Linked DNA regions of Callithrix jacchus. The protein of the gene in region 1 interacts with the protein of each later gene in a pairwise test. Links are inferred from orthologs where the notes say so. Each region holds a gene or a part of one and is shown on either strand. Other genes may lie near its edges. The genes, in order: MAPK7 and ubiquitin-conjugating enzyme E2 C.

Region 1 (4,495 bases):
CGCATGCCTGTAATCCCAGCTACTTAGGAGGCTGAGGCAGGAGAATCGCTTGAACCCAGGAGGCAGAGGTTGCAGTGAGCCAAGATGGCCCCACTGCACTTCAGCCTGGGTGACAAAGCGAGAATCCCTCTCAAAAAAAATAAGAAAAAAAATCCTAGGTCTCCACAACCCCATATTATAACCCAGATATTCCTTTCTATAGATAATAACCCTAATGATATCTTTAAATCTACCTGTGACTTGGAAGTCCCTCCCCTTCGAGTTGTCCAGCCGTTCCAGAATAGACATTGAACAGACATTTCCCCAAAGGAGACAAATGGCCAATAAGCTCATAAAATCAACGTCAAAATGTATTGATTTGTGTATTATGTCTTCCTAAAATGTATAAAGGCGGGCTGTGCCCTGACTACCTTGGGCACATGAGACTATGTTACCACCATGTCCTTAACTTTGACAAAATAAACTTTCTAAATTGACTTTACACTTGTCTCAGATACTTTTTGGTTTACATAGGTTTCTTGTAGGGGCGATGAAGATGTTTTATAAACCACTCCACCTAAAATTAGGCAGTGATGATGGCTGCTCAACTGTGAATACAGCAAAAAACACTGAATTGTACACTATAAAAGGGTTTTATGGTACGTGGCTAAAAGTTGTTTAAAGCTGAGGGACCGTTCCAGTTTTTGGTATGGAATGATCAACAGGAAAAGCGTATAATATGCTACATTTTGTACACGAAAGGGGAGGTATGAATATTTGTATTGCTTTTTTCTAGAAACTGCCTAGGAAGTGAAACCAAGATTCCTCACTTTTCAGCCCTACTTCAGGCTCTTTAGAAAACTTTTCCTCTCAGTTCACACTATCCGCCATGTCCACCTTCTCCCCCTCCTCCGCGTCCCCCGGCACTAAGCCTTAGAGGAGTGGTGCCCGATACATATTTGCTACGTAAGTGAACGAATCAACTATCGAACTCTGGGGTGGGTCGGGGCAGCTGGTTTCCAGCGTGGACTCCGCCGACTCGCGACTCCGAAGAGGGACAGAGGCTGGGCGGCCGTCTCGGTTAACTCCGAAGCAGCCCAAAGCACAGCAATCACGGGACCAACAAACGAACAGAGGAAACATGCCTGGAGGCCCAGAAACCGCGAGGCGCCGTCCAACTTGGCCGGAAGCTGCGGAGAGGTTCAGCCACCGGAAGTCAGCGGACGTTTCGGTCGGACGCTCTGGAATCCCGGAGGACCGGGATCTCTGTGGTTGGCCGTGACGGGCCCCTTTACCGGGGATGATACATTCTCAGAGCTCCTGGGACCGAGAAAATGGTGGGCACAATTCCCTGGGCGGTGGGGACTGATAAGGGAAGGTGCACCCCAAAGAGGGTGACTTCGGGAGCCAGTAGCCAAGGTAACAGTGCCAGTCCCGGGCATCTCAGGCTTCCAGAGAGACCTGCCGTTCCCTGAGCTCACGGGACTAGCTGTGATTGGCCGGACGAGGTCGAGTGCTAGATGGGGACGCGCGCGTTACGTGCAGGGGCGTTCCTTCCATTCACTTGGCGCCTGGCTGCCAGTGCGCATGCGTCTGAAGGCAGTGCCGGGCGGGGAGCACACCCTGCGAAGTGCCCGGCACCCTTTGGGCGTCTCCCGCCTGTTAGCTGGATAGCGGCGCGCGCCAGGCGTGGCTTCCTCGGCCGGTGGGCTCTGATTGGACGCAGCAGGTAGAAGGGACAGGACTCTCCGCAGAAGTAGCTCAGCGATTGGCCAGAAGCTAGAGGGAGCGTGGTCTTGGGAGGCGGGGCGGAGGGGGACGGGCAGGGCAGCTCTCGACGCTGAGGTGGTGGTGGCGGCCCCTGAACAAGTAAGCTGGCCACCCTCGGAGACCCCCGCGCTGGGGACGGGAGGCCGGAGAGCCTCGGGACCTCTGAAAGCCCTGAGGAGGCGCGGGGGTGAGTGCGGCCCCGAGTAAACCCAGGTGCCCCGCCCCTCCCTTTCTTCCTGGCCAGCGCCTCGCTTTCCCCTCCCCTGAACCTGGCGGGGCCCCGGCTCTGGCCTCCGACCCCCGGGGTAGCGTGGTCTGCCCCGAACCAGGCGCGCGCTTCCGGCTCCCGTCGGTTTAGGGAACTGGAAAGTTCCCTGGTCCTGCTCCCCAGCCCGCAGAGGGGACACTGAGGCCTACGGGAGGCGGGCCCCTCCTCACCCGCATCTCCACACAGACACCATGGCCGAGCTCCTGAAGGAGGAAGACAGCGAGGACGGCTCTGCGGAGCCCCCCGGGCCCGTGAAGGGCGAACCCGCCCACACTGCTGCCTCTGTAGCGGCCAAGAACCTGGCACTGCTTAAAGCCCGCTCCTTCGATGTGACCTTTGACGTGGGCGACGAGTACGAGATCATTGAGACTATAGGCAACGGGGCCTACGGAGTGGTGTCCTCCGCTCGCCGCCGCCTCACCGGTGAGCTTCCTGAGCCGTCGACCCCCAGATTTGGCGGCGTTGCAGGGAGTGGGAAAACGGCCCGTCCCACACAGCCGGGAAAGAAAGCAGGGTGCGAGTTCTGGCTCCAATCAACACACACTGACCAGGGCCCTCCGTGTGCCAGCCTCTGAGGAGGCTCGATTCTCCGAAACCCTGGCCTGGTGGTTTTGCCATCCTGCCTACCTACTGCCTCCTTAGAAAAATGACAGTCCCAGTTAGACCAAAATGGAGAGCCAGTCCTTTGTGTCTAGAAGAGAAATGTGTTCTGGAGCCAGACACTGGCACAAGGAACCGGTGGTGGGATGGGTGAGGTCTGAGATGGAGAGGGTGTAGGCATCAGAGGCTGGACTCCACCACTGGGCAGCCGCGCAGCCTCCAACAAGTTACTAAGCCACGTTGACCTTTTGGGACCTGCCCCGTAGGGAAGTTGTGAAGGTAACGTTTAATAACGTAGATAACCTGCTTAGCCCAGGGCTTGGCACATGGTATGTACCCAGTACTTGGTAGCTGTTGTTAATTTGTATCCTAAAAGGGAGGTGTTGATAGGAGCTGGGTTCGACTCTGCAGTTTCTCCAAGGTACTCTCTGGTATGTCCCTGTTCCCTGCTCCTCAGGCCAGCAGGTGGCCATCAAGAAGATCCCTAATGCTTTCGATGTGGTGACCAATGCCAAGCGGACCCTCAGGGAGCTGAAGATCCTCAAACACTTCAAGCATGACAACATCATCGCCATCAAGGACATCCTGAGGCCCACTGTGCCCTACGGCGAATTCAAATCTGTGTAAGAAGCGGGATGGGAGAGGGAGCCAGACTTGGGACCTTTTCTGAAGGCTGCAACCATATTGCTGAAGTTCCAGAAAGGCAGCTGAACCTAATGTGAAGCAGGCTGGGAAAATTCCCGCTATTCTAGGACCCTTCCCCTTTAGAGTGTTGCCAGGGACAACTTATTCCTTAAGAAGAGTACAGATGATTTTTCAATTTTATAGAATCTTAGTGTATAGGATGGCAAATGTAGGACATTCCTACCATGTCTACACCCTCCTATTCCCATAGCTGACTTCACTAATCAATCGCAGAACACTTTCCTACAGACAGTGGACAAGCCTGGTCAGTTTTCATCATAGTTCTTCAAGCTGCCACTACCAAACAATGGAGATAGCCCCAAAAGGAAACCTATTGGCCAGCCCTGGTGTAGTCCAACCCCATTTTTATCTGATGGGGGAAACTAGGTCTGGAGACAAAAGTGATTTAACCAAGTTCATGGAAAAGTCATAGAGAATCTAAAACGTGATGCTCTTCCTCCATACCATGCCGTCACCCCTACGGGGTCCCAGGGTAAGGCTGTTATCTGCCTGGAATCGGAAGGGTGTGGTGAGGATGGGGCTTGTCCCTGGACTGTGGTCAGGCCAACCCATGCTTCTCTCCCTTCCTTCCCCTTCCAGCTATGTGGTCCTGGACCTGATGGAGAGTGACCTGCATCAGATCATCCACTCCTCACAGCCCCTCACGCTGGAACACGTGCGGTACTTCCTGTACCAACTGCTGCGGGGCCTGAAGTACATGCACTCGGCTCAGGTCATCCACCGTGACCTCAAGCCCTCCAACCTATTGGTGAATGAGAACTGTGAGCTCAAGATTGGTGACTTTGGTATGGCTCGTGGCCTGTGTACCTCACCCGCTGAACATCAGTACTTCATGACTGAGTATGTGGCCACTCGCTGGTACCGTGCCCCCGAGCTCATGCTCTCTTTGCATGAGTACACACAGGCTATTGACCTCTGGTCTGTGGGCTGCATCTTTGGTGAGATGCTAGCCCGGCGCCAGCTCTTCCCGGGCAAAAACTACGTACACCAGCTACAGCTCATCATGATGGTTCTGGGTACCCCATCACCAGCTGTGATTCAGGCTGTGGGGGCTGAGAGGGTACGGGCCTATATCCAGAGCTTGCCACCACGCCAGCCTGTGCCCTGGGAGACAGTGTATCCAGGTGCCGACCGCCAGGCCCTATCACTGCTGGGTCGCATGCTGCGTTTTGA
Region 2 (2,956 bases), on another chromosome or scaffold:
TATCATACTGCCCTTTGATGCTATTTGGTGCCTGGAAAATATGCAGTACAGGCTTTTCTTTCCTTCTTGTTCCCTAACATTTCTGGGGCTTGGGGGGAGACAGGAAGGGAAAAATGTTCGTGAGTCTTCACTGCTGTATTGCTCGCATAGCTCAAAGACTACGTTAGAATCATCACATCTTTCCTGAAATATGTTGCCAGCCTGCCCTTGGAAGCAGAGTCCTGATAACCTTGTGTTAAAGAGTGTCTAATGCACTAGACATTTATTTAAGATCGCTTATGTGCTAATAATGGAGACATTCAACACAGTGCCCAATTTCCTGTATTTAAACTTACTGTTAGGTCACCCTAACAACAAAACATTTCTGTTGTTTTCCTTTTATGCTTCTTTCCCTAATAAACTGTGGAAAAACTCAGAAAGAAAATTAAAAACATTTTAAGATTGCAAAAGTATAATCTTTTGAAAATGCTGCAATGTCAAGCAATGTATTTACAAAGCAATGCTGACATTTTAAAAACAGATAACATTCAATAAGTTTATTTCATTGTATTATCTCTAAGATTTTCTGAGCTATTTCTTTTTGTTTTTTTTTTCCCCCGGCCAACTTTATTTATTTATTTTTTGTCTAAAAAAACGACCAAAATGCATTTATTTAATATACATCACAAGGGCTCAACCGAGGCTTAATTTAAAAGACAAAACAAAACAAAAATAACACCACAGCTCAAGATACAGAGTCCTATACAGAAATCACAAAAAGGACAGAAGACCTAAGGAAAAATGAAAAAGATGACACAAGGACAGGCTGAGCAGCCTGGGTCAAGGCTCCTGCCTGGTGACCTGCTTTGAGTAGGTTTCTTGCAGGTACTTCTTAAAAGCTGTGGGGTTTTTCCAGAGCTCAGCAGCATGTGTGTTCAAGGGACTATGGATGTTGGGTTCTCCTAGCAGGCTCTGGATGGAGAGCAGAATGGTCCTGACATCATACAGGGCAGACAACTTGTCCTTCAGGATGTCGAGGCATATGTTACCCTGGGTGTCCACATTGGGGTGGTAGCAGGGTGTGAGGAACTTCACCGTGGGCTCATTGTAAGGGTAGCCACTGGGGAACTCTAGCGAGAGCTTACACCTCAGGTCTTCATATACTGTTCCAGCTGCTCCATGGATGGTCCCTACCCATTTGAAAAGGTTGTCTGATTCAGGGAAGGCAGAAATCCCTTTATCGCCAGACATCATTAGGGTCATCAGCTCCTGCTGTAGCCTTTTGCCCACGGGGCCCCGGGCGGCGCCCCCGCTCGGCTGGGCTCCTTTACGGGCGGCAGCGACGCTAGTGGCGGCTGGGTCGCGGTTTTGGGAGGCCATCCGGGCGGCGCTGGCAGAGAGACAGGAACTCGGAGAACACGACTGCAACTGCCTGGCCAACTTTATTTTTAAAAATCAGGGAGGGCCAGGCGCGGTGGCTCAAGCCTATACTCCCAGCACTTTGGGAGGCTGAGGCGGGTGGATCACGACATCAAGAGATCGAGACCATCCTGATCAACATGGTGAAACCCCGTCTCTACTAAAAATACAAAAAATTAGCTGGACATGGTGGCGTGTGCCTGTAATCCCAGCTACTCGGGAGGCTGAGGCAGGAGAATTGCCTGAACCCGGGAGGCAGAGGTTGTGGTGAGCCGAGATCGTGCCATTGCACTCCAGCCTGGGTAACAGGAGCGAAACTCCATCTCAAAAAAAAAAAAAGAAAAAGAAAATATGTGGTGAGGCTGAGAAACAAGAAGTACGATTTTTTTTTCTCGAGGCGGAGTTTCGCTCTTGTTACCCAGGCTGGAGTGCAATGGCATGATCTCGGCTCACCGCAACCTCTGTCTCCCAGGTTCAGGCAATTCTCCTGCCTCAGACTCCCGAGTAGCTGAGACTACAGGCGCGCACCACCATGCCCAGCTAATTTTTGTATTTTTAGTAGAGATGGGGTTTCACCTTGTTGACCAGGATGGTCTCGATCTCTTGACCTCATGATCCACGCGCCTCGAACTCCCAAAGTGCTGGGATTATAGGCGTGAGCCACCGCGTCCGGCTGAAGTATGATTTAGTCTGAATATATAGCAGGGCTAGAGGAAGTGGCAGAATGTAGGGCACGAGGCCAAAATAGATTATAGGGGATTTGAGCTTTGTCTTATGGAAAATAGGAACTACTTAAGGTTGGTAAGCAAATACATTCAAGTTCTAAGTTGATCTACCTGACAAAAAGCTGGTGCAATAGTTTGGGTGAGAAACAATAAGGGCTTGAACTACAGATGATGGTGAAGAGAGGATTCAAGGGAACCAGAACCTTGGACTCAACTCCAGACCAGTGGGATACTACAATGTGAGTGAGGCCATTTTGGAACTTCCAGTTTGGCCCAGCCCCAGTGGAGAGCAGCTGATATGAAGTGGGGGAAGAGCCACACCATCCTCTTTGAGCTCTGCCCAAATTCCCGCTTTAAGCCATTACATTCTGGGTGCCTTTTTAGCAAGAAGAGATAACTGAGACAGTACAGCCATCCTAGGTATTGTGGCGCATTGGTTCCAGGACCTCCTGGGGACAACCAAATCCAAGGGTGCTCAAGTCTTTTATATAAAATGGCATAGGCCAGGGCATGGTGGCTTATGCCTGTAATCTCAGCATTTTGGGAGGCTGAGGTGGGTGGATCACTTGAGGTCAGGAGTTCGAGACCAGCCTGGCCAACATGGTGAGATCCTGTCTCTACTAAAAAATACAAAAATTGGCCGGGTGCAGTGGCTCACACCTGTAATTTCAGCACTTTGGGAGACCAAGGCAGGTGGATCATGAGGTCAGGAGATTGAGATCATCCTGGCCAACATGATGAAACCCCGTCTCTACTAAAAATACAAAAAAATTAGCTGGGTGTGGTGGCACACGCCTGTAGTTCCAGCTACTTGGGAGGCTGAGGTGGAAGAA

Evidence for each region.
Region 2: the proteins of MAPK7 (region 1) and ubiquitin-conjugating enzyme E2 C interact in binary tests that used the Homo sapiens proteins (3 or more experiments, as listed by UniProt). The two-hybrid records come from large-scale screens. The link is inferred for Callithrix jacchus from reciprocal best matches to the Homo sapiens genes MAPK7 and UBE2C.

Annotation. Positions count from the first base shown.
Region 1 is NC_133506.1:83,276,579-83,281,073, forward strand, and holds the start of MAPK7 (mitogen-activated protein kinase 7), read left to right. Parts: upstream 1-1,559; 5' UTR 1,560-1,708; intron 1,709-1,792; exon of another isoform or gene 1,793-1,936; intron 1,937-2,203; 5' UTR 2,204-2,208; coding exon 2,209-2,440; intron 2,441-3,074; coding exon 3,075-3,240; exon of another isoform or gene 3,241-3,794; intron 3,795-3,901; coding exon 3,902-4,495. UniProt on the Homo sapiens protein: Plays a role in various cellular processes such as proliferation, differentiation and cell survival. The upstream activator of MAPK7 is the MAPK kinase MAP2K5.
Region 2 is NC_133507.1:94,914,948-94,917,903, forward strand, and holds ubiquitin-conjugating enzyme E2 C, read right to left. Parts: upstream 1,413-2,956; 5' UTR 1,360-1,412; coding exon 820-1,359; 3' UTR 631-819; downstream 1-630. UniProt on the Homo sapiens protein: Accepts ubiquitin from the E1 complex and catalyzes its covalent attachment to other proteins. In vitro catalyzes 'Lys-11'- and 'Lys-48'-linked polyubiquitination.